Linked DNA regions of Mus musculus. The protein of the gene in region 1 purifies or fractionates together with the protein of each later gene. This does not show direct contact. Links are inferred from orthologs where the notes say so. Each region holds a gene or a part of one and is shown in the gene's direction. Other genes may lie near its edges.

Evidence for each region.
Region 2: the proteins of Eif4b (region 1) and Usp11 purify together in Homo sapiens (affinity purification with western blotting; 3 studies listed by BioGRID, with this or other methods). This does not show direct contact. The link is inferred for Mus musculus from reciprocal best matches to the Homo sapiens genes EIF4B and USP11.
Region 3: the proteins of Eif4b (region 1) and Eif4g1 fractionate together in Homo sapiens (co-fractionation; 4 studies listed by BioGRID, with this or other methods). This does not show direct contact. The link is inferred for Mus musculus from reciprocal best matches to the Homo sapiens genes EIF4B and EIF4G1.
Region 4: the proteins of Eif4b (region 1) and Eif3a purify together in Homo sapiens (co-immunoprecipitation; 3 studies listed by BioGRID and IntAct, with this or other methods). This does not show direct contact. The link is inferred for Mus musculus from reciprocal best matches to the Homo sapiens genes EIF4B and EIF3A.
Region 5: the proteins of Eif4b (region 1) and Eif3b purify together in Homo sapiens (affinity purification with mass spectrometry; 3 studies listed by BioGRID and IntAct, with this or other methods). This does not show direct contact. The link is inferred for Mus musculus from reciprocal best matches to the Homo sapiens genes EIF4B and EIF3B.

Annotation. Positions count from the first base shown.
Region 1 is NC_000081.6:102,082,798-102,088,429, forward strand, and holds part of Eif4b (eukaryotic translation initiation factor 4B), read left to right. Parts: intron 1-1,363; coding exon 1,364-1,572; intron 1,573-1,881; coding exon 1,882-1,998; intron 1,999-3,205; coding exon 3,206-3,260; intron 3,261-3,707; coding exon 3,708-3,842; intron 3,843-5,632. UniProt on the Homo sapiens protein: Required for the binding of mRNA to ribosomes. Functions in close association with EIF4-F and EIF4-A. Binds near the 5'-terminal cap of mRNA in presence of EIF-4F and ATP.
Region 2 is NC_000086.7:20,701,540-20,707,758, forward strand, and holds the start of Usp11 (ubiquitin carboxyl-terminal hydrolase 11), read left to right. Parts: upstream 1-2,369; 5' UTR 2,370-2,428; coding exon 2,429-2,580; intron 2,581-5,372; exon of another isoform or gene 5,373-5,443; intron 5,444-5,449; exon of another isoform or gene 5,450-6,219.
Region 3 is NC_000082.6:20,688,435-20,694,223, forward strand, and holds the end of Eif4g1 (eukaryotic translation initiation factor 4 gamma 1), read left to right. Parts: intron 1-104; coding exon 105-203; intron 204-296; coding exon 297-431; intron 432-536; coding exon 537-618; intron 619-757; coding exon 758-898; intron 899-3,812; coding exon 3,813-3,997; 3' UTR 3,998-4,449; downstream 4,450-5,789.
Region 4 is NC_000085.6:60,765,916-60,771,547, reverse strand, and holds part of Eif3a (eukaryotic translation initiation factor 3 subunit A), read left to right. Parts: intron 1-410; coding exon 411-533; intron 534-1,528; coding exon 1,529-1,682; intron 1,683-2,655; coding exon 2,656-2,840; intron 2,841-3,884; coding exon 3,885-3,973; intron 3,974-4,552; coding exon 4,553-5,214; intron 5,215-5,632. UniProt on the Homo sapiens protein: RNA-binding component of the eukaryotic translation initiation factor 3 (eIF-3) complex, which is required for several steps in the initiation of protein synthesis.
Region 5 is NC_000071.6:140,416,637-140,422,905, forward strand, and holds the start of Eif3b (eukaryotic translation initiation factor 3 subunit B), read left to right. Parts: upstream 1-2,668; 5' UTR 2,669-2,724; coding exon 2,725-3,190; intron 3,191-6,269.

The DNA of each region.
Region 1 (5,632 bases):
TTCAGACAAGGCTTATCTCAAGCTATCAGAGATCTGTTCACATCTGCCTCCTTAGTACTTGAATTATAGACATGCATACCACACCTAGGGCTTCATCAGTCTAGCCAGTTTTCTTTCTCCATTCCTACCCCACCCCCCAAAAAACTTATTGCAAATTGACTACTTTGTGTGTGGCCTCTTTTATAATGAAAACAGGAAGTTTTATATAGCTTATATATTCTCTAAATGTTGAAACTAAATACAAATTCAGGGACCAGGACTAGGATAGTTGTTTTTTTGTTTGGGTTTGGGGGGAAGACAAATCTTGAGGAAGCCCTGGTAAGGTGGTATGAGCTGTAATTCCTGGGATTGGGAAGTAGAGACAGGAAGGCCTCGAGCCCCAGGGTAGACACACACTGTCTTCACAAAAGCAAAGGTGGGGAAGGGGCAGAGCACACAAGCCCCGCCCATGTGGGAGTGAGAGCTGTCAAGAGTGCTTAGCGTGTTGAGGTAGAGAGGATCCTGGTCAAATGCTTTACCATCAGATAATTGTCTTCACTGAGTTTTGTTTTCTGTATATAGAACAGTGTCGCAGGCTTCTCAGGCTAAAGTGTTTTATAGTAAACATGTGAAGGATTTGGTTCATAGATTCCTTAAAGAGTGAAATGAGAGAAAGCAGTCAAAGGCCTTAAGATCCACAAAATAGACCTTGAGTACTCCTTACTTTCTGTTTTTTTTTTTTTTTCTTTGTTTATGTGTAATAATTGTGTGCCTGTTGGATCCCAGCCACCATATGGGTGCTTGGAAATTAAACCTGAGACCGGCAGGAGCAACAAGTGCTCTTAACTGCTGAGCCATCTCTTCAGTCCCTCTTTTTTCGATCTTGATTATAACACCTTAGAAGTATTTTCTTGTCTTTTGCTTCAGTGGCACAGCCTTGTTTTGACTTGGCTTGGTGTTGGCATGAATCTCTGGCTCTAATCTTATATGCATGTGGATCTGTGGGAGTTGGTTTGAAGGATTTTGCTTTTTCAAGACAGGATTACTCTGTGTAGCCCTGGCTATGCTAAGACTCACTCTCTAGGCTGGACTAGCCTTGAACTCAGATGTAAAGGTGTGTGCCACCACCTTCCAGCATGTGCTTTTTAATACAGAATCTCTTTTTTATAGTAGTGACTGGTCTGGGGTTCACTGTGAATATTGGGCTGGTCTCAGACTTTGAGCCAGCCTCTACACTATGACTGCTGGATTTTGGGTTGTTTTGAGATGGTCTTAGCCTGTAACCCGGGCTGGATTTGCTCACATTTATCCTACTGTCTCAGTTACTCAGGTGCTCTGCCATGCTTGGCTTCTTAATTTCCTTTTGTCTGCTCTTCTGTCCTAGTGTCAACAACTTGGCATAGTAACGATGATGACGTGTACAGGGCGCCTCCAATTGACCGTTCCATCCTTCCCACTGCTCCACGGGCTGCTCGGGAACCCAATATTGACCGGAGCCGTCTTCCCAAGTCGCCACCCTACACTGCTTTCCTAGGGAATCTGCCCTATGATGTGACAGAAGACTCCATTAAGGATTTCTTTAGAGGATTAAATGTAAGTGTCTTTTTGTGTCAAACTGTGGGATATTGAGGATAAAAGCTAAATAAACCGATTGTGGGATGGGCCACAGAGGAAGGCAACAGAGTCCAAGATGCAAAGAATACCTTAATTAATTTTGTTTTAAGGGTTAAATTACTATGACTTGAACAGTGTGGGCTATAGAGTAATTTGTCTTCTGCCCCTCTACCCATTTTTCTCCCAGGTTCTTATATGTTCTTTGGAGAAATTACTTTTTGTTTGGGTTGGTTTGTTTGTTTTTAACCCTGTTTTTTTGTTTGTTTGTTTGTTTCTTTATTCTCTCAGATCAGCGCTGTACGCTTACCACGGGAACCCAGCAATCCAGACAGGTTGAAAGGTTTCGGCTACGCAGAATTTGAGGACCTGGATTCTCTGCTCAGTGCTCTGAGTCTCAATGAAGAGGTAAAGAAATTAAGAGGTGGGGTGAGGGGGTGGAGAGAAAGCTCAGCCTTTAGGAGTACTGGCTGCTCTTCCAGAGGACCTGGGTTTAATTCCCAGCGACCACATGGCAGCTTATAGCCATCAGGAACTCCAAGATCTGACACCTTCCCCTCAGACAGACAGGCAGGCAAACCAATCACAGAAAGTGCAGGCGAAGGATGGGCAGTCTTTGTTTATCAACCAAACCGAGTCCCTCCTGATACCATTTCAGGTACAGTGATTGCAATGGAATTTTAGGGAAGAAACCCAACATACCAGATTTCTAATGAACCTATTTACTACTTTATGTCAGCTCTAGGGTTTTACTTTTTAAAAATAAACTGCCTTTATAAATGTAGAGAGAAAAGTTAACTAGGTTCTCTAAAGTGTATCTTTTCGGGGCTGGGGTATTTAACTCCAGAATTTCATAGTCTGAATCTACCATTTGGTATAATTGTAAATAAGCAGCTCTTAGAAATATTTTCATTGAATAATGATTTAAATGCCTTAGTCTGTATCAGATAATGTTAAATAAAATTCACTGGTAGAGCCAGATATCCATGTTGGTGCTCAGCAGTTGGTCAGAGTATTTAAAAGGTAATTAGGAAAGGGGAAGTCAGAGGAACTAAGCTCTGAGTTGAGTGAAAAGGCCTGGAGAAAGCAGTCCTCAGTGTGCCGCTGCTGTGTTGTTGGCCTGTTGGATTGAATAACTAGCTGCTTTGGTATTTTAATTGTCCTTGTTCTTTGGACGCTGGGTCTTCCTATAGATCCTAGGCTGGCCTGGAACTTGCTTCCTGAGGGCTATAATTACAAGCATGTTAGCTGATTGAGAATTGCTTTCATTACACTAAATTGAGTTTACTCCGGTATATGAAGTTAGCTTTCGAAAAATAGAGTTAACTTTATATTAATCTAACACCAACTTTGTTAACTCTAAATTTGCTTCAAATTTTTCTTGAAGTTCTTGAGTTTTGTGTTATGTTTGTTTGGTTGGTTTTTCGAGACAGGGTTTCTCTGTATTGCCCTGGCTGTCCTGGAACTTACTCTGTAGACCAGTCTGGCCTTGAACTCAGAAATCCGCCTGCCTCTGCCTCCCAAGCGCTGGGATTAAAGGCGTGCGCCACCATGTCCTGCTTCTTAGAGCTTTTTAAGCTAACAAGGGTCAGTTAATAGGATCCTATGCTCTCAGTCTCTAGGTAACAGGAGAATTCGTGTGGATGTTGCTGATCAAGCACAGGATAAAGGTAAGAAAACTGGTAGAACTTCCCAGTTTGGTGTAGTGGTCCTAGGGAGGTAGTGAGGCTAGAATCAGTTCTCAGCCTGCTTTGTTCCATGGTAACTTTAGGCAGTATTAAAGGAGATTTGCCTCAGTCGAAGGGACTACTACTGATACCTAATGAGTATAATCCAGATTCATCCTATCTCCTTCCGATTTCAAACCACCTACTATCCTTGGGCTGTAAATTTATAATTAGATTTGCTACCTAGGAGCTTGAGCTTTAGTGTGATATAGATAAACATTAATTAAAATACATTTGAGGAAAAGAATAGATCGGTTACCTGGAGAGAGCAACCTCAAGGCCTGGCCTTGGGATGCCAGTGCAATAGAAACCGTAGGTGGGATGTGAGGGACCATGTGAGAAGTAAGTGGTGTCTTGGGTGAGCTAACTTGTTTGGTTTTCTGTCTACAGACAGGGATGACCGTTCTTTTGGTCGAGATAGAAATCGGGATTCTGACAAAACAGACACAGACTGGAGGGCCCGTCCCACCACAGACAGTTTTGATGACTACCCACCTAGAAGAGGCGATGATAGCTTTGGAGACAGTAAGTTCAGGTTTTTTAATTGTTTCTTGGGTCTGTTTGATAATGGAACGTTAGAAGTTGGGGAACAACTTATAAAGTCTGGTTTCTATGGAGTTTTTTGGGGGGAGTTATTTTGATAATAAGAATTGTTGACAAATGCAGATAAGAAATTTGATAAGTTCCTAATTTTAAAAAATATTAACAGAAAGTACAGGCATTTCTCTTTGAACACAATTGTTTATAAAGAATAACTGAGGCAGAAGAGGTAGTAGCTTGGTCTCAAATGTTAAAGTCCTATCAAACAAGCAGTGGGATCCTAAGTTGGATTCCTAGTCTCCCTGGTAAGAAGACAGATGTGGTGCAGTGAGGGTGGTAGCTCTAGAGCCTACTGACTTGTCAGTGGGTCTATCTACTTCAGGTCACAGAGAGACCCTGACGCCAAGCAAGAACAACACAGACCTACATACACACAGACATGAAACCTACAGCAAAAAGCTGATGCTTATTTAAACTCCACCAGTGAGATTCCATGTGGAACACAGCCAGGAACGGCTATGTGACTATAATTGTGCTTAGCTTTTAAAGGTGACTTTCAGAAAACGTAAGATTGATTCACTTAAAAATACAGTGACTAGGGCTGGAGAGATGGCTTACAGTTAAGAGAACTGACTGCTCTTCCGAAGGTTCTGAGTTCAATTCCCAGTAACCACATGGTGGCTCACAACCATCTGTAATGGAATCCGATGCCCTCTTCTGGCATATAAGTGTACAGGCAGACAGCACTTTAAAAAGTTTAAGTAAATAAACCTGTTTTTAAGAAAATATTGACTGTACTTTGTGCTGAAGAAAGTATACAAAGAACCTTTTCACTGAACACTGGCAGCAGCAGGAAAGGCTGGGCAGTGCTGTGAGAGTGAAGGTGAGATGCAGCCTTGTGTTTGCCTGTACTGGGTTGTGTTAATACTAAGTTTGTTTTTGAGGTGGTCTCACTATGTAGTCTTGGGTGGTCTGGGACTCAAGAGATCTGCCTGCATTAACCCTACTGTGTGTTGAGATTAGGGTGTTATTTTTTTGTCAGGTGTGGTGGTGCATCCTTTATTCCCAGCACTCAGGAGGCAGATGCAGCTAGAGTTCAAGGCCAGCCTGGTTTACAAAGCAAGTTCACGTACAGCAAGAAGGGAGGGAGATAACGTGGAGGGAGTGTGTAGTCGAGAACAGGATCCAGAGAGGCCAAAAGAAGGCACTGGATACTTGACCTATGAGCAGTGTGCACTCTTTAAGAGTAGAGCCTTCTCCTTAGCCACTGCCAGATTTTTTAAAAACATTTATTGGTTGCCTAACCAAGCACATGTATGCCTTGGTATAAGTTGTGGAGGTCAGAGGACAACTTTTGAGAGCCTTGTTTTCTTTCCTCCATGTGGGTCCTAGGAATGGAACTCAGGTTGTCAGGCTTGAGAGGCAGGATCTGCTGAGCCGTCTCTGACCCTCATGCCAAACTTTGAAACAGTCTTTGGTTGATTGGTATCAAACATAGAAAATTCTAGCTATAGTCTCTTGTGCTTAAATGTATTTAAACATCATGTTCTAGAATTTGTATAGAATATATAGATATTTATCATTATCCACCCAAGAAAAAGCATATTAAAACCACAAAATTGAATCAGGGAGATATCCTGTACCTGTTATGGGGGTGCCAGGGGTGGCTTTTTGAAAGAAAAATGACTTTGAACTTGATCCTGCTGCGATCCTGCTGCTGCCCAGCATCCCAAGTGGTAGTGTGGTCCTATGAATTAAATCTAGAGCCGCATGTG
Region 2 (6,219 bases), on another chromosome or scaffold:
TGGATAGGATGTCCACAAGTTCCTCAGCAGACTTCTTATGTCCTAGAAGGTGAAGAAACCAGCTTTAAGGGTTGGGGGAGGGGCAAGCTAAATGGGGAGAAACAGACTGGAATGAAGGAAGTCAGTTCAGATGGATTTAAAGAGCAGCTATCTGCTTGTTCCAAACTCCATTTCTACACTAGTCTTTGGGGTCAGAGATCAAATTAAATTTCCTTCAGGGCTCATACAACTAAGTTGTGACCTCATCTGTGTCAGGTTGGGGTTAGATAATAGAATAACTGTATCAGACACCTCATCACTACTGTAAAATCAAACTCCCTACAGAAGCTAACTGAAAATAAGAGGGATGTTAGATCATGTGATTGGGAGGAGGGTTGAACTGCAAGCAGACCTGTGTGCACAGGGGTCTATATAGGAATAGGAAGGCACAGCTTAAAATTCTTGTCTGTGTGTAGTTGGTAATAGTGAAGGTAATCACTAAACTAGCCCCAAAATCATGATTTGCGGGGGAGTTTGTGGGTTGTCAACAGGAACAGGTGAGGACAGCCAAAAGAAAGGGAGGTGGAGAAGCACAGAGAACTAAAGTCATCACTGACCAGTAGAACTGAGAGCCTACAAGAAAAGGGTAACAGCCTAATAGGATCTTTCTCAACCAGAGAGATGATCTCCACACTTAAGGATGTCTGATTATGTCTGGTGATACACAGCCTTTGTTGTGATGGTTGCCACCATTTTCTAGAAGTAGAGATCAGGGAACAGCTTAATACCCTAACGTGCTACTTTTTTTCTTTTCTTTTTTTTTTTTTTTTGAGACAGGGTTTCTCTGTCCTGGAACTCACTCTGTAGACCAGGCTGGCCTCGAACTCAGAAATCCGCCTGCCTCTGCCTCCTGAGTGCTGGGATTAAAGGCGTGAGCCACCATGCCCAGCTAAAGTGCTACTTCTCACAAGAAAAAATTGCAGTAGTGCTGAAGTCTGACATAGAGCCTGGTACACCTGTATCCTGTACTCCTAGCATTTGGGAGGCTAAGGCAGGGGGATCATCATAAGTTCAAGGCCAATCTGAGCTTCATGTTCAGAATTGAGACTCTTTCAAAAAAACACCAAAAGAAACCCTGGCCGGTTCAATGGTTTTCACATACATGTTTGTCATCAGATTTCCTTTATATTAAAGATTGGGGACACTCAATGAATTGGTTATCCCAAGATACCCTCTGAATAATTCCACTATATATGCATGAAAATGAGAGTGAAGATACTGCAGAAAGTCTTGATTTTGTGAAACCTCCTGAGAGGGTTTCCTGAGCTGATAGCATGTGACCACAGTTTGAGGATCTGCCTGGTGTTTAAGGACACAGCTCTGGAACTAGGTCTGCCGTGCTATGGCACATCCTAGCTGAGGACAAATGATTTCACATTTCTGGCTCTCAGTTTCCCACATTGTTACTCATGGGCCAAAAACAATACAGTTATCTGCTACCCAAGGCTACTATTTAAGTCCAGCAAGTCACTTAAACTGGACAGACTCAGTATTTGTTATGCTTCCAACAAACACACAGATTTGTCTGGTAACTCTAGTTCAGGAAGCTGAATGTTGAAGTGCATGCCTGTATTCCATCACTTTGGAAGCTGAGGAAGGAGGATCAAGGCAAATCAATTGCCAGCCTGGGCTTCATAGAGTTGGAGGAAATTCTGGGGCAATTTAGCAAAGTCCCTGTCTCAAAGATAGAAAAGACAGATGACACACAGACAATCACACAGAGAGCCACACCCTAGTTCAGGCTCTCAGGAGATGATAAACTATTTGAGAAAAAAACCTTTTATTTCATGTATATAAATGTTTTCCCTGTATTCATATATGTGTACCTTGTCCATTTCCGCTGATCCTCAGGAACCTGTGTTATGGATGGTTGTGAGCCACCATGTGGGTTCTGGGAATTGAACTCTTTCTTCTGCAGGAGCAATGAGTGCCCTTAACCTCTGAGCCATATCTCTAGCCCATACATTTGGTTTTGATGGATGAGAAAGGTAATTCACGTTAGGCTAACAAAAATGCCGCTTTCATAGTATGGGTTTGCAGTTAAAGGGGCAACTATTTGCCCTAAGCATCCTTTGTGAGGCCCTAAACACATATTTGCTCATTTTGGAAACCTCTGGCCTCCACCAAAGGACCATTTCACCTGGTGTTAGAGAATTCCACAAGGCACTAATGTCTTAGTTCCAAACAAGAGAGTTAACCCCTGGTATTGGTTGCAGAGACCACAGACCACCACCCAATTTCCGCCAAATGGTGACGTTTCCAAGATGGCAGTAGCCCCCTGATTGTTGGGGGGCTCTGCTTCCGTTTCCGGGACAGAATCCGGAAGTGCCAGTTGAGGGTCGTCTTCCTATCTTCAGTTGCGTCGGCAGTTGGAGGAGGACAGACGGTGATGGCGGCGGTCGCAGCGGACCCAGCTGCAGCTGCCGTCCCGGCCTCTGCTGAGGACCGAGACACACAGCCCGAGGCAATGCCAGACCTGGATGAACAGTGGCGCCAAATCGGGAATGGGCGAGAGCGTCCACTGCGAGCTGGCGAAAGCTGGTGAGGCTGGGCTTCAATGAAGCCTTGGCCAAGGGGACCTTGGGGGCGTTAGTATCGCGGGGTACTTAGAAATCAAATTCTGAGGATGAAGCGGTGCGAGGCTGGGAAGGGGCTTGGGCCGGCGGGAGAGAGGGGGCGTGGAAGTGCTAAGTGAATGAATCTCAACGTTTGGGGGAAAAGGCGGGGCCCGAGTGGGGCAGTCAGCCGCCTAAGGACAAAATGGGGTTTGTGATAGGGGTGGGGCGTGAAGGGGATGGCCGTGGGAGTCAGGGGACTGCATCGTTTGGGGAGGGGGTGAGAGGGGACTGCGTCTTGGAACCTGGAGCCTGGAAAGGAGGCTGGCTCCGTACTTAACGCGGGGGCGTGGCGTGTGTTACAAAACGTTGCGTCGGTTGCAAGGAACGGCCTACAAGTACTCGAAGCGCCTGTGAACCCGACGAGCTTGGTGGCGTCCGCTGAAGAGCAACTCCATAGCCTATAGCTGTGGGCCGAGGGGCGGAATAGTGTGGTATGGGGAGGGTGCCTGGCTCCTGGGAACAAGGCGAAGGGCTGGGGAGGGGCAAACTGTGGAGGAGGGGCAGTGCCTGGGGCAGAAAATGGCGCCTGCAAAAGAGCAAAGATTGTGACGCGGTATTTTTTTTTGTTGTTTTTGTTATTTTTTTAATACCCCTCTAGTTAAGGTCTCCTTCCTAGAACAGGAGAAAGTGCAGGTGGTTTACAAAAGATTATTTGGGGAGTTTTTTTTTCCACGTGATAATATTTTTGTAATCAGAAATGGCTATTTAAAAGGGATCCACAGCTTTTAACAAATTGTCTTGTTAGACCATTTTTTTTTAAATGCTAATCAATGCCTCTTAAAATTTACTGCTCCCCGGGTTCCTATTTCTCTCTTGAGTTGCTGCTCATTTTTAATTGTGAAAATCGTAAGACCTACAAAGATTATAGTATAAAACGTTTTACATAAATGGACATCCTGCTGAAAGAAATGGTTTGTATGCTTCAAAAATGGCAAGGTCATGAAAGGCATACGCTGAAGAACTGTTCCAGATTGAAGGAATTAATGCAGTTTAACAAGTCTATGCAACACGTGATCCTCATTTGGATCTAGCACAGGAAAAATAAATTATTTTTAAAAATGAGGGTTCTTTCTCATAATTTATTTCTCTTTCACTGTAAATTTTATTGGAAAAAAAATCGGTGAAATTTGACAAAGGCCAGTAGATAAAATACTGGTACTGATAATTTCTTGTGATAATTGTAATGTGGTTATGAAAGAATATCCTTTGGTGAAAAAATACATACTGAAATTTCATAGATAAGGAGCCATCGTGTAAACAACTTACCAAATAATTATATTAAAAATGCACATGGGAGGGAGAAGATTATGGAAATATTGGTCATAGGATGTAAAATTTAGTTAGACAAAAGGGAACAAATTCAAGAGCTCCCTTGTACAAAATGGTGATTATAGCTAATAACACTCTATTCTATACATGAAAATTGCTTAATAGATTTTACATGTTCTTACCCAAACAAACTGTGTGACATAATTGGTTTGTTAACTAGTTTGATTTAGTGTTTTACAATGTATATATCAAAACATGCTGTATACTATCAATGCACACTTTTTTTTGTCTAGTTTAAGATAAATGAAAATACCCCAAAGATGATATGGGGAAAAAAAGAATAGAACAAATGGATAAGGTGTGTTAGATTTGGGGACTCTAAGGGCATACAGAGAAGTCTTTATATTATTCTGCCCTCTCTTTTTAGAGGCAGGGTCTCTATTATGTGGTCCTGGCTGTCAGGGAAGTAACTATATCAGGCTGGCTTTAAACTTAGAAATCTGGCTGAGATTACAGGCATACTCCACCATGCCTGGCTTTTTAAAAACCCATTTTCAGTGAGTTTACTTCAAAGAAAATTTAGTAAATTTTATATGTGGATTAATCACTCATGTGAAGATTCAGAACATTACCTTAAAACTCGTATGCTTTTCCCCTCCATCTTCATAGGAAACTGTTATCCTAAATTTTGAATTAAAGGGCTCTTTTCACATTTCATTATCATAATAAACTTCCAATATTCATATATATGTGAATATACACATATATATGAACATGAGTGTTTGTGAAATAGACTGTGAGCCCTTATATTCCATGGTAAATAGTATCTGTATGATGTAATTTGATACATTAACCTTGACCTGTTGGTCTGCCAGGTTTCTCAAGTGTTAAGATGCTGCTGTTCCCTTAAGCAGTAGTTTCTTAAATACATATTTAAATTTTATTTATATTTTCTGTCCATCTGTACCTCAGGATATCCAACAGCTTCTTGTTTCATGCAGTATAAATGGTAAAGTCCTCAGTGACCTGCAAGGCTTTTGGAGACTGGTACCCCTTCTCCATTCTAACATTTCTCTGATCTGATTATCAGCCCCCAGGCCCTTCCTCTCTCCATCAGGGACACCCACATTAGACTATTGCTGTTCTTTACATTTAGGGCCTTTTCCAGGTTTTCCCACTTTACAAAGTTCCTAAACAACACTGCCAGTGAAATGTGTATACATTACTGGGGAGATAAATTACAATTCCCATACTAGAGGATATAGTGACATCTTTCTGCCATTATATCATAGTTCTCCAGCAAAGACTGGCCTCAATCCGTCCTGAAAACAAACAGTAACCAGACTGTTTGTATAACTCATTTGGAGATGTCCAACAGTTCTCAAAGCTTTGGTTCATTCCTCTTTCCTACCTTGACAGATGTGTCATTATTTTTGCTATTGGTAGATAACACATGATCCTGTCATCCTTACCAATGGCCTTTTAAATTAGCCTGCCAGGAGAGGACCTTCTTTGGGGTAAGGAAAATATTTTGGAAGTAAGTAGAGGTGGGTACACAACATTGTGAATGTACTAAATGTTAATGAATTGTTCACTTTAAAATGGGTTAATTTTATGTTAACTTCACCTCATTAAAAAAAATTACCACACCAGTGTTGGTTGAGTATTAAAGCCAATTTGTTTCTCCTGTTGGAATTGTTATGAAGCATTTTGCCAAGCTCCACTTTTTGTTGCTCATTTAAATTAGGTAAGAGCAAAGGATCTCAAAGTTTGCTGCCATAGTTGAGAAATACGTATTTATAAAGCATTTGAATTCAAGGACTAGCTTCAAATCATACATCTGTCAGTATTAGCTGTACCTCCCATCCTTAGCTTAATAGCAGATTAAAACAATTCCAGTTAAGTAACTCACTCATCTTTACTGATTAAATTTCTTAGATGCATTTGTTTGGGGGTGGGGTGGAGTACACCATGTGACTCTGTGCTGGAGGAGGCCAGACAACCACTTGCAGGAGTCCGTTCCCTCTCTGTATTTCCTGGGGGATCAAATTCAGGCCAGCAGACTTGGTGGCAAGCACCTTTACCTACTGTACCATCTTACCCACCTTCCACCTTATTTTTTGATACAGGGCTTTTTGAACCCAGAGCTCTGTTTTAGACTGGCCAGCAAACCTTTAGTATTTTGTCTCCATGGCCCCCTCAAGTGTTGAGATTATCACTATGCCAAATGTTAAGTTTTTTTAAGACAATGTTTCCCCTGTAACTTTGGCTGTCCTAGAACACACTTTGTACA
Region 3 (5,789 bases), on another chromosome or scaffold:
GGTGGTGCCTATGTAGTATGATTATTGAACTATTGAGTCCTAAGAGTCAAGGGCCATGTGTAGAAGTAGCTATTGAGATGCTGAATTGGTCTTTTGTTTTTCAGGGTCCCAAAAAGGTGGGGATGCTGTGGCGAGAGGCTGGGCTGAGCTGGAGGGAATTTCTAGCAGAGGGCCAAGACGTTGGCTCATTTGTGGCTGAAAAGGTTTGACACTGGAGTTCACTTATTCTGCATTTGGGGCTAGCTAGTCTCATCTTTCCCTCATCTTTTACACTAGTTTTGGTCATTTGTTTATAGAAGGTGGAATATACCTTGGGAGAAGAATCTGAAGCTCCTGGCCAGAGGACACTTGCCTTTGAGGAGCTTCGTAGGCAGCTAGAGAAGCTGCTGAAGGACGGCGGCAGTAATCAGCGTGTGTTCGACTGGATAGACGTATGTTTTTCGTGGATATGGGGGAAGGAAAGAGGTAGTTTTTGAGGTGGATGGTTTGGGAGTAACAAGAGTGAATACTTAGAGTCTATTTGTTTTTCTGTACAGGCCAACCTAAATGAGCAGCAGATAGCATCCAATACATTAGTTCGAGCCCTCATGACAACTGTCTGTTATTCTGCAATTATCTGTAAGCCAGGGGAGTGGTGGGACAAGGGTGAGCCAGGCAATCTAATGGGGGGAAAGGAGTTTTGGTCTTGGCCTTCTAGGGCCAGCCAAGCCAGGTGAAGTCTTCATTACTCTGTTTTGTTCCCCCCCCCCCCCTGTAGTTGAGACTCCTCTCCGAGTGGATGTTCAAGTGTTGAAAGTGCGAGCAAGACTGCTGCAGAAATACCTGTGTGATGAGCAGAAGGAGCTACAAGCACTCTATGCTCTCCAGGCCCTTGTAGTGACCTTAGAACAGCCTGCCAGTAAGCCAGGCTGCAGGGGTGAGGGTGGGACAGAGGGGCTGCCAGATAGAAGCTGGTCATGGAAGGTACTCAAGCCAAGAGAGGCGGGGGAAAGAGCAAAATGCCATGGTGATTTGATTGTTACTTACCCTACCCTCTGCTTGTTTCCTTGCCTACAAATGGAGTGAGTTAATCTAAGCCTGGAGGGTTGATTGCCTGCCCGCTTTGTGCTTGACCAGTAGATGACAGCAATGCAGAGGTGATAAACAGTAGCATCTTTCAGATACCATGTGCCCATCTGTCTGATACAAGGCTGAAGTGCTTGCCTGCCTTTTTGGTTTTTTCTAAGACAGGGTTTCTCTGTGTAGCCCTGGCTGTCCTGGAACTCACTCACTCTGTAGACCAGGCTGGCCTCAGATATCCGCCGGCCTCTGCCTCCCAAGTGCTGGGATTAAAGGCGTGTGTCACCACCGCCCAGTGCTTGCCTGCCTTTTTAATAGCTATTAGGGATGGATTTATCTCCCTTTCCCACATTGGAAGATGGGGGCTTATGACTGTGTATGAGGTTTACAAATTCAGGACATGGGCATGCTTAGGTGTTAAAAAACTGTAATGAGCAAATAGAGCATGGTTCTGTGCTGGCCTGGAGTCAAAGCATGAGTGTTGGTAGATAGCTCTAAGAGATGATGGGTGTGGGTTGGTTACCTGTGCATAGAGACATGGAAAGCGCTACTGAAGGAAGTGCTGCAGTCATGAACAAGAGGGAATGAAGAAGTAGGGGTGAGGGGCCAGATACTAAAGGCCAGGTGAGTACTGATGGGGGTCTTGCACAGAATAGAGTAAGGATTGTAAGCAAAGAAAAGAATTTGAGGTGAGAACAGTAGTGCCGTACCCTGTGATCACCAGAGGCAGGGAAGAAGATCTCTAAGTGCAAAGCCAGCCTAGGATGATTAATTAGACCCTGTTTTAGAGAATGATCCCTACCCCAGCTGGTCATGGTGGCACTCAGGAAATGGGAAAATGGGTTTCTGATCAAGACAACCAAGGCTACTACATACATTAATAAAAAACAAAACAAAAAACAGTACCTAAAACATAAGTACCTTTAAAATGCTGTCAATTAGCTGTTTACTTCTATTTTACAGTGGAGACTGGCTTGCTTGGAATGGGATTGCCTCAAGATAAGAGCTCTGGTAAAATGGAGAACACAGATAGGGCAGGGGCCTGTGAGCAAAAAAAGTTTGGTATAGGAAAATGGTTGAAAATGCTAGATGCTATAGTGTGGCAGGAGCCTATCTAAACATTAAAAACCTTGAGTATTTAAAACATCGACATCGGCAGAGACAGGCAGATTTCTGAGTTCAAGGCCAGCCTGGTCTACAAAGTGAGTTCCAGGACAGCCAGGGCTATACAGAGAAACCCTATCTCGAAAAACCAAAAAAAAATATAAAAAAACAAAAAACATCGACGTCTTACTATCAAGCTACAGAATTTGATGGAGTAAGTAGGGGTCCAAAGTTCTGAATTGGAGAGAACTGAGATAGTTGTCTGAGACAGAAAAACAAGTACAAAAATCTTGTTTAGCTGTGGGGTAGTTAAAAGGTTGTTTGTGGCAAGATTGGACTTAACAGAAATGTGGTAAATGTGTGGGGCAAAGTAGATAAGCAGGTGTACAGGGCTCTCTGAGAAAGCAGATGGCTTTGGAGCACAGTTGTGGGATAAGTGAAGGATCAGCTCTACCCAGAGATGTGGGAAACCCAGAGGGATGAACCCAGGCTTGAACTTCCCGTAGTTAGTAAGCTAGCTTATCACCTTAGAGCTGGCCTTGAGGTCCTGTGCTTCACCTAATGGAGTTTGTGAGGAATGGGGTGGATGGTGTTCTGGGATTGCATTGTAAGACAAGCACCAACCGGGCGTGGTGGTGCTCGCCTTTAATCTCAGCACTCGGGAGGCAGAGGCAGGCGGATTTCTGAGTTCCAGGACAGCCTGGTCTACAAAGTGAGTTCCTCCAGGACAGCCAGGGCTATACAGAGAAACCTTGTCTCGAAAACTAAAAAAAAAGAAAAAAAAAAAAAAGACAAGCACCTCAGGGAAACTGCTGTGATGGCTAAAGGTTCCTGGGGGATTCACCAGGAAGATGGGATGGTAAGAGAAGTGGGCAGAGTGGAGCATTCTAGAGGCCAGAGAGGGTATGAGTATGTGGCAAAGAGGCTGCCAAAGTTTGTCTCGAATCTGTCTGTCATGGACTCAGTGCTGGACCTAGAGTTGAACCTAACTTCCAACTATTTATTTCTTTAGTCAGTCTTTTGTGATGCAATCTTAAGTAGTCTGGGCTGGCCTCAAACTAGTTAGGTAGTTTAGGCTTACCTTAACTTTGATCCTCTTGCACTCTATATTCCAAGTAATGGGATTCCAGTAACGGGCCTAACATTTTCCCTTTCTTGTTTTTATTTTGGCTTTTTTTTTTTTTTTTTTTTTTTTTTTTTTTTTTTTTTAGTATAGCCTCAATCTGTAGACCCAGGCTGGATATATCATTATACCCAGCCTTCTGTCTCTTTGTTCTCTTGAGACATGGTCTCACTTGTGTAGAACTAGCTGGCCTAGAAAATTTTATTGCAGACCAGGCTCCTCTCAAACTCTTCCTCCTGAGCAATGAGATTAAAGGTTTGTGCCACCACACCTGGCCTCTGTTTTTCCCCTTTTCAGTTTTGCTAAGCTGCCAGAGTTGGCTTTGAGCTACTATCTTGATCTGCCTCAGTCTTCCAAATATTTGTTTCTAAGGATTGCTAGTCTGTCATGAGATTAGCATTCTGTCGCTGAGCACCAGGATGGTAGATCACGGTTGTGTTTAGCAGTGTCTTTTTGGGAGGGATCTCCGGGTGTAGACTGCTAACGCTTTGGCTAGTCACCTAATTGATGTCCTTGTGGCTTGCAGACCTGCTTCGGATGTTCTTTGATGCTCTATATGATGAGGACGTGGTGAAGGAAGACGCCTTCTACAGCTGGGAGAGCAGCAAGGATCCTGCTGAACAGCAGGGCAAGGGTGTGGCCCTTAAATCTGTCACAGCATTCTTCAATTGGCTTCGTGAGGCTGAGGACGAGGAGTCTGATCACAACTGATGGCGGGTGGGGCAGGGGACTTGGAGCCATGGACACGTGGATGGCCCAGCCAGCCAGCCGCCTGGACTGCAGGGGGGCGGCAGCAGCAGTGGCGGCAGTGGCAGTGGGTGCCTGTAGTGCGATGTGTCTTGAGCTAATAAAGTGGCTGATGAGGCAGGATGGCTTGGGGCTGCCTGGGCCCCCCCCCCCTCCAGGATGCTGCCAAGTGTCTCTCTCCTCCCCCCAGGGCACAGAGATATATATAAAGTCTTGAAATTTGGTGTGTCTTTGCGGGGGGAAGGGCACTACCGCCTGCCTCTAGGGTCCTTTTTTATTTTCTGAAATCACTCTTGGGACTGCCGTCCTCGCTGCTGGGGGCATATGCCCCAGCCCCTGCACCACCCCTGCTGCTGCCTGGGCAGGGGAAAGGGGGGGGCACGGTGCCTGTAATTATTAAACATGAATTCAATTAAGTTTATTGCCTCTTTACTGACCTATGGATCATCTTTCTTACCAGATCTGGCCACTGTATCATTGATACTTGCTTGTTTACCTGTCAGAAAATTTTGGGGACCTGGGGAATTGCTTTTCTGGAGGGTTGAGATCTTTGGATCAGCTTGACACAGTGATGAGTGCTGTAGTGTACTTTTGCTCCTACCAGATTGATCCGAGCTCTGAGCTTGAGACCCTTGTAGAAGCCCTAAATGAGATGTCCTATGTAAAATGACTGCATGGTCTACCGGCTTCTGTCAGTATCGCTCCGCAGTGGACTGGAGATGCTGTGAGACCCAGGCTGTCACTGAGTGGCTGTGACGTAGGCTTGCCCCGCCTGCTCTGGGTGGGCACGGCCCCGCGCTTACGTCACCGGCCCTGTTCCCCTCTCCCGGGAGCGGCAGCAGACGCGCTGCTCCCACCCCCTCCCCTTCTCACAAGCTGTCCCCTCCCTGGTGGTGACCGCGGCCCGACCCTCTGCAAGGCGATGGCCCGGGTCCCGAGCGCGGGCTAGCGTGCCTGGGTGCCTTGCCATGGGCTGTATTGGCTCTCGGCGCTCAGCCGGTCAGGGTAAGAGGTGGAGGCCGGAGCATGGATAGGGAGTCGGGCTACATAGCTGCCAGGTGGGGCCGTGGGTGGTAGGGGCGGTGAGGAGGGGGCTGGTATAAGGAGAGGGAGGAGCCTGCGTCAGGAAGGCGGGTTGGGCCAGAGGAGCGTACGGCGAGGGGGCTAGCCGACTCTGACTTGTTCCTGTGGCCTGCCTGCTACTGGGATTTTCCGTGGTGTACTCACCTTCTGCCTTTTGCCTGTATTCCTGCTGCTGAGAGTGGCTGCGGGGGCACAGCCTGGGAGCCGCAGGCCAACCTGCGGCCCCCACCTTCCCGGGCTCCAGGCAACTAGCCTTTTGTATATACATACTTCATTGCCTACACCTACCTCTCTGATCTCAGTGTCTTAGGAGTGGCTCTTTGCTGTGAACCTGCCTCTCCTACCTGGGTGCTCTCATCCTCAGGAGTCAGTTTGCAAATGCTGGCCAAGTACCCCACCGAACGCTAGTTTTTGCCTAACACTTGCTCAGAGCGTCTCCCAGCTGGTTGATTAAAGGGTCGGAAGCCCCAGGTGGAGCATCTGTGAGCAAATTGATAACCTCTCACGCTCACAGATAATTTTATTCCTATTACCCCCCCCCCAAACAAAACAAAACAAACAAACAAAACAAATCACACTTATTCCGAGCAGAAAAAGTCCAGGTCTTCCTATAGCCGCTGAGCCCTGCTCAGGCCTTCTTTTCCATGAAAACATGTATGTGGTCGGGGGCGGT
Region 4 (5,632 bases), on another chromosome or scaffold:
TAATGACTGCTTAATGGAAAAAGAAAGGTTCAAAGTAGAGGTTTAATAAGAAACTATTAATTACAGCCTTATGTGTACACAAATGAGAGAAAGGTCATATTTGTGGGGCCCTGGGCATCTGAAGTTTCAGGGTCTACCATCTGGAGACTTAGGATTATATTGTTAATTCTTACTGTTTTTTAAAGGATAAGTTAGGATTTTGTGATAATTCTCCTTAGGCATACGTATTTAAGCAGAAATAGAAAACACTTGGGACAGTATGGACTTGTATAGGACTTCCATTAGGGATCTGTTGGGATGTTCTGTTTTCACTGCAAAATACAGGGGAAGGAGAAGCTTCTCAGTGTAAGGAAGGTGAGCATCTTCCTGGAGTGATGCTTTGGAGATTACCTAGTGCTGTGTACTTTCAGATCACTACAATGCAGCTAGAACGAGAAAAAGCTCTGGAGCATAAGAATAGGATGTCACGAATGTTGGAAGACAGAGATCTATTTGTGATGCGCCTCAAAGCTGCCCGGCAGTCTGTCTACGAGGTAAGCTCACTATGGGGTCTTTTTTTGTTTGTTTTGTTTAGGGAAAAGTTTAATTTGTGAACTTCTAGTTTTCTTTTGAGGATTTTCCCTTAACACAGGTTAAAGGTTAACAGGTAATTACTCAGTATTTGTATAGATGAGTTGGGAGATATTTTAATCTTTTCAAGTGTTTCAAAGATGAAAGTTTATTCTTTTTGATCTTTTTGAAGTGTGGGATTTTGGGGGCAGTGCAGGATGGAATTTCAGGCCTACCAGATAGCTACCTCTAGAGTCTTTTTTTTTTCCCTAAGTTTTTTTTCTTTTTTAAAGATTTATTTATTATTATATGTAAGTGCATTGTAACTGTCTTCAGACACACCAGAAGAGGTGGTTAAATATCATTACAGATGGTTGTGAGCCACCGTGTGGTTGCTGGGATTTGAACTCAGGACATTCGGGAGAATAGTCAATGCTTTTAACTGCCGAGCAATCTCTCCAGCCCTTTTCCTAAGTTTTATTTTTTACTATTTGATTCATAAGTAAATTAGATCACGGCCAGGCATCTAGGTACATTATCTTAATAATAGCACTTGGGAGTCATAGGCAGGCAGATCTGAGTTGTGGGTCAGCCTGGTCTTTGTAGTGAGTTCTAAAAAAGAAATGAGCTATATCGAAGATAGTTTGTTGTTAAAAGTTCTGAGTCAGTTTCTTTATTATAAGTAAAATGTGACTTTTTTTGAGGTAGGGGGTGGAACTGGGAGTTGAAACTACCCACCTCACATGTGCCAGGCAAGCACTCAGCTCTCAGTGATACTAGTCCAGTGTGTAGATAATACTAATAATTCAAAATTTAACAAATATGACACAGTATTTCTTAACCCATTAAGAGATTCTGCTTTTGTATTGATTTGGTGGCCACTTTCTGTGATTTTCAGATTGCATGAACTTCCAAGTGTAAAACTGTTATTCATGTTTATCTTAAAAAATGGCCTGTGGGGTAACTGTTGAATTTGCAGGAAAAACTGAAACAGTTTGAAGAGCGCTTAGCAGAAGAAAGGCATAGTCGCCTAGAAGATCGGAAAAGGCAGCGGAAAGAAGAACGCAAAATAACTTATTACAGAGAAAAGGAAGAAGAAGAGCAGAGGAGGGCAGAGGAGCAGATGCTCAAAGGTAACTATGGTAACCATTAAACTGCATAGGTGTGGGTACCATGTTTCACAATCTTATTTAGAAAACCAAGGGATCAGATAGCGCAGTGCTTTGAATATGTTGGTGCTGCTTCCTCTATCAATCTATAGCTACATATTTTTATACTTTTCCTGTTGGTGGTTTAGAACCTGTGTCATTAATGATAATTACATATGTGGTTCTACACCTGGAACCCTATATATTCGGTTGAATTTGTTCTAGTGTGGTTTCTGTTGCTGCAATAAAACACTGACCAAAAGCACCTTGGGGGATAAAGAGGTTTATTTGGATTCTATATCATGGTCCATCATTGAGGGAAGCCAGAGTTTCTGCCAGGGGGCTCAAGGTACTGAAACAAAGACCACAGAAGAAAGCTGCTTCCTTGATAAGTCCCTCTGACTTGCTCAGTTACCTTTCTTACACAGCCTAGGCACATCTGCCCAAGGATGGTTTTGCCCACAGCAATCAGCAGTCAAGTCATGCCTATAGGCCAGTCTGATAGAGACAGTTCCTAGGTTGATATTCTTCCCTCCCAATTTTGCCTAGATTTGTGTGACTGAACAAAAGCACAATTAGTGTGTAGGGCCATCCTAATCATGGTGGACTACTTGTGGGTTTTTTTTCTTAGGGGCACTGGGGCTCTTGTTTGTTTTTTTGAATCTTAATCACTATTTGTTGATTCCCATCTACTTTAAATTTAAGTTTTTCTAAATTATTGGGTATGTATGATGTGTAGAAGAGGCTAACTTTGAAGAATCAGGTGTTTTTTCATTTTTATATAGGTTCTGAGGATTAAATACATAGATTATGTGTAAATGCTGGTCACATTGCTGGTCATGTTTTAATATTATTACCTTCTAAAACGAGTGCATCTCTGCTTTATACTAGAAAAGCAACTCTGATGATAGGAGTATGGGTGGGAAGCACATTTGAGTAACCTGACAAATTTTCATAGAGCGAGAAGAAAGAGAACGTGCTGAGAGAGCAAAACGGGAGGAAGAACTTAGAGAGTATCAGGAGCGAGTCAAGAAACTAGAAGAAGTAGAAAGGAAAAAGCGGCAAAGAGAGCTGGAAATTGAAGAAAGGGAAAGGCGCAGAGAGGAAGAAAGGAGACTTGGTGATGATCCACTTTCTAGGAAGGTGAGTATAGACGTTATTCTCTTTGTTTTTTCTTTGATACTGGAGTGTGAATCTAGACTTTATCTGGCAAATCCCCTATTACTGAGCTGTCTTCCCAGACCTTGTGCATTTATTTAATTGCACGTAAATATACCAGTGAATTTTCTTGTACTATTGTGGCCTGATTTCTCTGACTACTACTGATACCAAGATCTGTTTGTATTCAGTGTCTCCATCAATTGGGAGAGATAACTGGGTCCATTCTAACTTCATTCAAAATGTATAGTACAACGATATAATTAGACTTCTTGATATTACTTGTATGCAAAAATGACTTGTTTCTCTCATCTCTTGAATTCTTCTAATTGTTTTGTTGCCCATAATTCAGTTTAAATTAGACCATGTGTCATTACTGATTCCTAAACTGTTTCCCCAGTCATAATCTCTTTCTATACTTTAGATATGCTACCGTTTTCATAATGGTAACATGTGTGTCCCTTAAATCTGCTCTTCTGTCTCTGCTTCATTTGGGTTGTACTCATTTCCTAGAGAAAAGCAAACAAACGTAATGAGCCCTCTTCACCAGTTATAGCTGTCAGCTTGTGCTTCAGCAGCTCTGAGTTATTGCTTTGCTCTTTAAACAAAACTGCTTGTTTATTGATTTTTTTTTCCAGAAAATAATATTTCAGTAGATTATTTTTAGTTATGCACATGGGGGATGTGCACGAGTGCTGAGTACTGGATTCACTGGGGCAGTAGTTTACAGATAGTTGTGAGCATCTTATGTTGGTGCTGGGAACTGAACTGTGATCTCCAGAAGAACAGTACATACACTTAACTCTTTCCAGTCCCTAGGTTTTTATTTCTGTGGGGTATGAGATCTCACACAGCCAAGGCTAGCTTTGAGCTCCTGAAGTTACAGCTGCAGCGCCTCATTTTGACCAAGAGTCTTATTTTAGGATCTTGAGGTTTGTTTAATTAAATAATGAAGTGCTTGACTGGTAGTAACTCCAGTAGTTGTAATTATAACTTTTATTACTATGTGCCTTTTTGCTTTGTCCACAGGACTCTCGGTGGGGAGATAGAGATTCAGAAGGCACCTGGAGGAAAGGACCAGAAGCTGACTCTGAGTGGAGAAGAGGCCCACCAGAAAAGTAAGTAGACTTGTGGGATCAGTGCACTTTGTCTTAGATATTAGTGTCTGGGATTTAAAATCAAATCAGGCGTGTAGAAGAAAAGGTGATGAGGTTTCTTTAAGAATTGTATGCATCTGTTATTTGAGCCTGTGTCGAGGGTTTTTGTAGCTTTAGGATGACCTTGATCTTGTCTCTACCTCCCAAGGATTGGATTTACATGCTTGTTTAATCTTTGTAGTAATGTGTATAGAACTCAAGGTTGGTAACAGCATAACAAGCACTCTACTACTAAGCTACTTGCTCAGTTCTTGACTATTTTTTATGGTAACTGCTAGTGATAGACGGGAACAGTGGCTTTAAAAATATGCAGAAATTAAAGTTTAGAGGAAGCTCATTGTAAAATATATAGGTAATTTTTTCAAGACTATTATCTGGTTGTTAGTCTATATTGATTTAAGATACTGAATTTTGCATAGTTTTTATTTAGAAAACATTTTTAAAGGACCAGAGTTAATGAATTTAGACTTGGCGATTTGTAAGAAATAGTGAAATCAAGGGTCCATATTGTTTTTAAAGCTGTTCCTTGTTTCTCCTTAGGGAGTGGAGACGAGAAACTCGGGATGATGAGAGGCCTCACAGGAGAGATGAGGATCGGCTGAGGCGCTTGGGGGGTGACGATGAAGAGAGAGAGTCTTCTCTTAGACCGGATGATGATCGTATCCCCAGGCGTGGCCTGGATGATGACAGAGGGCCTAGACGTGGTCCCGATGAAGATAGATTTTCTCGTAGAGGAACAGATGATGACCGTCCTTCCTGGCGTAATGCAGATGATGATAGGCCTCCCAGGCGAATTGGTGATGATGACAGGGGAAGCTGGCGTCACACAGATGACGACAGACCACCCAGACGGGGACTGGATGATGAGAGAGGAAGCTGGCGTACAGCAGATGAGGACAGAGGACCTAGACGAGGGATGGATGATGACCGGGGGCCAAGACGAGGAGGTGCTGATGATGAACGGTCATCCTGGCGGAATGCTGATGATGATAGGGGTCCCAGGAGAGGCATGGATGATGATAGGGGTCCCAGGCGAGGGCTGGATGATGACCGAGGACCTTGGAGGAATGCTGCTGAAGATAGGATTTCCAGGAGAGGTGCAGATGATGACCGAGGGCCTTGGAGAAATATGGATGATGATAGGGTTCCTAGAAGGGGTGATGATGCAAGACCTGGTCCTTGGAGACCATTTGTCAAGCCAGGTAAGATTCTAGTTTTAAAATTACGATGTTTTGTGACTTGTTTGATAGATTTGTTTACATGTAAAAAGTGAAATTATTGGGCTAAATGATAGTTGTACTATATTCTTTTTAGATAGATAGATAGATAGATAGATAGATAGATAGATAGATAGATAGATAGATAAGAGATAGGCCTTTTTCTTTGTGCCCATGCAGTGGCTTTTACATAAAAATTACTCTTTTTAAATGTCCACACAACTGCTGTCCATGGGGTCATACTTAGGAGCTCATTTTTGTTCTTCTGGGAGTGCTCACTGACACTCTTCCAAGTACACACCTCCTCTTATGACCTGCTGTCTCAAATGTGTAAATTAGGAGTTCTCTCCTTTCTTCTGTTTTAGCCTGTATGTTAAGTCTGCCATTTATCTCGGCTCCTTTT
Region 5 (6,269 bases), on another chromosome or scaffold:
ATGAAAGCCGTGGCTTGGTGACTGGAAGAGTTCCAGAGAGCTGCCAAGCTCTGAGAAGAGGTGCATCCAACCCTTTGACATCCAGACTTCACGCCTGAGAACTATGCAGTGGAGTTTAAAATAAAATTGCAAAACTATTTTTGAGTAAGTACACGAGTTTAGGCTGGGCTACACGCAAAACTATCCTTGGGCCTGGACAGGCTTGCAGGGTTATGAGTTCTGCTATTCAAGAGCTGGGACTCTTAAGCAGAGGCCTACCTGAAGCTAGAGAGTGATGCTAGACAGGCAATGGTGGTGCATGCCTTTAATCCAGAACTAGGGTAGAGGTAGGGGGATCTGAGGTCAGCCAGGTCTACAGAATGAGTACTAGGACAGCCATAGCTACACAGGGAAACTCTGTCTCAAGGAGAGACAGAGAAAGTGAGAAAGAGAATGGGAGAGCACTATCTTTGAGGAGCCATGGGTCTCAACACTCAGGGCTTGAGAGCCATAAAAGTACTTGGTGGAGGGTTACAGTGGATGCTTTGTGTGGGGCTCCTGGCAACCTAACCTAGAGAAGAAAGTCTGTTTCCCCAGCACCTACAGCCATGATAAGTCTCTGGCTTCTAGAACCCGGAGCCATAAGCCTTTCTCAAGATTTGGATCGAATCCAGACACTGGGGCTTTGGGCTCTCAAAGGTCTGGGCCTGCCAGTCCTAGAAGAGACACTAATTAAAAACTAAGTATCCTTTAGCCAGGCTGGTGCATGCCTTTAATCTTAGCACTCGGGAGGCAGAGGCAGGCGAGTTCGAGGCCAGCCTGGTCTACAAAGTGAGTTCCAGGACAGCTAGGGCTACACAGAGAAACCCTGTCTCTTAAAACAAAACAAACAAACAAAAAAAGTAAATTAATTTACTTAGTGGGTACCTAGCACATCAGCGCCCCTGGCCCCAGTCAGTTCTCTCCGTCTACAATATGAGTTTGCAGGATAGAACTCAATTGTCAGGATTAACAGCAAGAAATGATGAGTAGATCATAAATACTTCTGAGTAGATCATAAATACTCAGCCAGGGGCTGGTGAGATGGCTCAGTGGGTAAGAGCACCCGACTGCTCTTCCGAAGGTCTGAAGTTCAAATCCCAGCAACCACATGGTGGCTCACAGCCATCTGTAATGAAATCTGACCCCTCTTCTGGAGGGTCTGAAGACAGCTACAGTGTACTTACATGTAGTAAATAAATAAATAAATAAATCTTAAAAAAAAAAAAAACCTCAGCCAGCCCAGTACTAACTTATCCATCAGCCCGTGTTCACATGTTTTGTGGTTTAGTCTTTATATCGCACAGGCTGGCATGATCTTTCTGCCTCAGTCTCCCCAGTGCTGGGATTCCAAGTCTATGCTTCCTGGTCAACTAACAGGTCCTTTAAAAAAAAAAAAAAAGGAAAGTTTTGTTTGTTTTTTCTTAGGAATGATCTGGGACCAGAGAGGTGACTCAACTGTTTTTGTTGTTGTTTTGTCTTTTAAATTAGGCTCAACAGTTCAGAGCATTGCCTGCTCTTCTAGAGAGCCTGGGTTCTATTGCCAGCAACGACATGCGGTTCATAATTGTCTACTCTAAGTCCTGCGCGTGATACGATGCCTTCTTTCGGCCTCCGCTTGTACACGGTGCACAGACAGACTTGCTGGCAGAACACTGATACGCATAAAAAAAAATTCGAGTTAAGAGATGGTTGTAAACTACCATATGGGTACTGAGAGCGAAACTTGTGTTCTTAAGCTCTTAGTCCCCTCAACTAGTTCTTATTAAGATTTTCGAAACTTTGAACTGGAAGTATCAAAAATCTTGACTATCTTTTCAAGCAAACCACTCTTGGGGTCCCCCTGGTCACTCCACGAAGGTTCCGTCCCGTCCACCCCACGCTGGCCCACGTGATCGCGCTCTCCCGCGCGTGAAGACCGCAGTCACCGGCAGACAGAATCACAGTGACTTTCACGTCTGGGGCCAACGCTAAATTGCGAGCCGCTGCAGTGAGGATGGCCATTGAGATTAAAGCCGCTCATCACACGACTCTGCATTGTGCGGGCAGTCATTCTTGTGTGTGTTGGCGGCCCCTGGTTGTCGGCGAGCTCCTCGCGTAATTTTGGAACCCTTCGTTCTTTTGCCCCGTCAGTGGACCGGTCTAAAATGCAAGACCTTACGGGGGAGCGAAGCCAGTCATGTCAGTCAAGCAGTCTGTCTGATTAAAAGCAAAGCTTACAAAGAATCATGTGTGGAGCTTTCAGTTGTCTTGGCATTATTTTATGGTCACATATTTTGTCTTCATACAGTTACGCGTGTTAATCATTTGAGAATCCACTTGATGCTCCCCAGATAGTACAGTCCTTCCCCGTAGCGCCCGCTGGGAGAGGCAAAGGAACTTCTACCATCTTGGACGCAACTATTTCTTAGCTAGAATGGGGGAGCCACATATCCTTGTGAATTTATTTGCTACCTTAAAAAACCTTTTGGGCTATAAATAAACTTGCATATCTTGAAACTTATTATTTTAATTGTTTCTAGATTTTTATGCATATCTGAGTTTTCTCGGGCTGATCGTGAGGAATGAGGGCGTGGGTGTCTCCCCCGAGCCACATCTTGGTACGATCCCATCGCTGCACGCACATGGCTCCGCGCTAGCGGCGCGCGGTGACTTCTGGGAGTCGGAAGCAGGGCGGCCGAGCCGGGTGAGAAGCAGCGCGGGCCCATGCAGGACGCTGAGAACGTGGCGGTGCCCGAGGCGGCCGAGGAGCGGGCTGAGCCCGCGAGGCAGCAGCCGGCCTCCGAGTCGCCGCCGACGGACGAGGCGGCAGGGTCTGGGGGGTCCGAAGTGGGGCAGACGGAAGACGCCGAAGAAGACGCCGAGGCCGGACCGGAGCCCGAAGTGAGGGCCAAGCCGGCGGCCCAATCCGAAGAGGAAACGGCGACGAGTCCGGCCGCCTCGCCCACGCCGCAGTCGGCGGAGCGGTCCCCGTCGCAGGAGCCCTCTGCTCCCGGGAAGGCAGAGGCCGTTGGCGAGCAGGCCCGGGGGCACCCCTCGGCTGGAGCGGAGGAGGAGGGCGGGTCTGATGGGAGCGCGGCTGAGGCGGAGCCGCGGGCTCTGGAGAACGGAGAGGCAGATGAGCCCTCCTTCAGCGACCCCGAGGATTTCGTAGACGACGTGAGCGAGGAAGGTAAGGGCGATCGTGTCCCCGGCCAGGGCGCGAGGTCTCCCGGTTACAACGATCTTGTTTCCTCTACAGTGGGGGACCATTTGGGGAGTCCGTTTCTGCGGCAAGCCCTTGCACCTGGGGGTTGGTGGAGGGCAGGACGAACAGGACTATCTGGGGGCATTCCAGTTTCCTGGCCAAGGGTTTCCAGGGTTGACCAGTTGCTGTGTTCCCAATGGTTTCCGTAGTAAGGCATTGCCATCGGACCCAAGCACATTACCAACCTGCTTCCTTTTACTAGGTCGGTACCCTGGACCATTGCTTTTTCACATTGTTCGTTTGGCCGCTTACTTCATGATTTCTTCTATGGTGACTGGCTTTTTAAAGGCATTGTTTCTGTCTACCTGCACAGGAGCCAGATTCCTAAAATCTTTTTTGACAGTTGATAGCATGTGTTCCTCTGCCGTTTCAACTTCACTTGAGCCAGTTCCTTCATGTGTTGGTGTGGCTAATACCAAGGGCCAAAGGGCCTAAGAACACCACTTTTTTTTTTTTTTTTTTAAACGAGACAGGGCCTCTCTATGTAGTTCAGGCTGAAATTGAACTCTTGGTTCTTCTCAGTTTTCACGGTGCTGGTCCTACAGACATGTACTCCCAAACAATTGCTTTTGAACTACCATGAAAATTCAGCGCCCCAATATAGTTGTCAACTTAGAACTTACAATATTTCAAGAGGTCGTCATTTGATGTCACCATTGTTTGACTTAATCCTTTTGTATGTTTGTGGGGGTTGTTTTGTTTTGTTGTGAAACAGGGTCTGGCATGGTCCAGGCTGGCCAGCTCTTTATGAAGCTGAAGCTGTCTTTGATCCCCATCCTTCTGCCTCCACTTTCAGATTGCCAGGATTTGAGATGTGAGTCACCATGCCTGGCTTATTTCTTGAAAGATGGCTAAGAGTGAGAAGCCGATAAACTAATGTGAGGAATCTATAGGCTCCAGCCTTGAGGACGTTTATCTGGGTAGAGCAGGTTTCTGGGTTCCCACTCTCGCCCGACTCCAGTGCTTGCTAATGTACCTGTTTTCCCCATGTTAGAGCCTAAGCTTTGACTTTGAAGCTCCTTTTGAATCCTTGGTTCCTTTGGCTATTTTGGGTCTGGGCTGTCCCTGTCACTTCATGGTTTCAGACAGGACCTCACCATTTGGCTGGGCCAGCAGGCCACGTAGGTCCTTGTACTTTTCTAGCACTGGGAATGCGGCTCCGTGCCCCTCCAGCTTTTTTGAGTTGGGTGCTAGCCTACAGGAGTGATCTTACCTCAAGTCCTGCTGCTCGCCCAACAAGCGTCTTTTGAGCTAAACCATTTGCCCATAGGCACTACCAGCATCTTTTCCCCTTTTCAAAGGTCTGTTTTGTTTTGTTTATTTGTTTTTAATTGAAATTTTGCACAGGATCATTTTGCCCGTGTGTCTAGTGCCCATGGAGGCCATTGGATGGCTCTCTTAGAACTGGAGTTTGAATTAGAATTGGTTGTAAGTACTGGGAAGAAAATGGGTCAGTCTACTGCAAGATGAGTATTTAAAGAATATTTGAACCCGTTTAATTCACAGATTCCAGTATGTATATTATTTCCAGAATTGGGGATTATAGGAGTCAGGGGATGCTGGCTGGTGTGACTGCAAGGCCAGCCTGCCTTCAACAAGTCTGCTAGGAGCCCAGTGGGTCCCGTCCAGTGTATGCAGGGAAAGGGAGAGTAATGAGAATCTGGCCCTTAATGGTTGGAACTCTTAAGGCCATCTGGCTTTGGGCATCAGGGTGTCACAGTGTCATCAGGGTGAGAAGAGAAACAGCCTTTTGGTTTCTACCAGGAGGAGCAGTGTGGAATCCTCACATCAGTATATGCCTCCTATTCTGTTACTGATAATGAACAAGTTGTTTTCTCTAGTGTGCTGTGCATGCCAGCAGTTCAGTACTTGGAAGGTAGAGGTTTGAGGTTAGCCCTTGCTACATAGAGGGTGCAGAGCCAGCCCGAGGTACTTGGGACCCTATATCACAAGACAGATAGAAGGGGGCTGAAGAGATGGCTCAACACTTGCTGTTCTTCCAGAGCACCTGGGTTTGATTCCCAGCTCCTGCATGATGGCTCACAAGTCTCTGTAACTCAGGAGTGATCATGTGGTACACATATACACAAAAAACATTTATACATGTCACAATAAAGTGTAAAAAACCCAAGCAAATGGAAAGAAGCAGTGTGTTGCGTTCTGAGGATATTTTGCTCTGCGCTTCTCAGGAGAAGCAGATGGTTAGTTACAGGCTAGGAGCACTTTGAGCTCCTGGGAAGGAGTCTAGTCTGTATGGAAGCTGGGCTTTTCTTTATTGTGTCTTGTTAAGTTTAGATCCAGCTTAGCAGGCTGTTTAATTGTATGGTAAGCAGGCTTTTAAAGGAACCCGGAGTTTCTGTAGTGAAGGTGTGTGGCATGGCTGTGTTGAAAATCTGCCTCTTACCTCCTCACTCCTTGCCTGCTCTTGATTCTGGCATCTTTGAAATGTGTCTTAATTAAGTTTCTTTTGCTGTGACAAAAGCCACTTACGTCAGTCCATCATCCAAGGAAGTGAGGGCAGGAGCTGATGCAGAGGCCATAGAGGAGTGCTGCTAAGGCTCGCTCAGGCTGCTTTCTTATAACATCCAGGGACACTAGCCTGGGATGGCACTGCCACAGTGAATTGTGTTCTCTCATCCCAATCATCAGGCAAGAAGTTAACCCACAACCTCGCCTACAGGCGAGTCTGGTGGGGGCATTTTCTCAAGTGAGGTTTCCTTCTCCCAGGTAACTCTCGTTGTGTCAAGTTGACATAAAATTAGCCAGCACGGAATGCAATGGACTAGTGTGGTAGAACCGAGGAGCTGGCGCATGCCATGCAAGGGTTCTACCAAGCCGTACTCCCAGCCCACCAGCAGTGACCTGAAAAAAGTCATTTGGTGAGTTAGTTGGTGCTGAGCATTTGTGTCGCCGTCAGGACAGTCAGTGTTCAGGAGCTGGTTTTCTCCTTCCGCAGTGGGTTCCAGAGATTGAACTCAGGTCCTCAGGCTTGTGTGACAAGTGC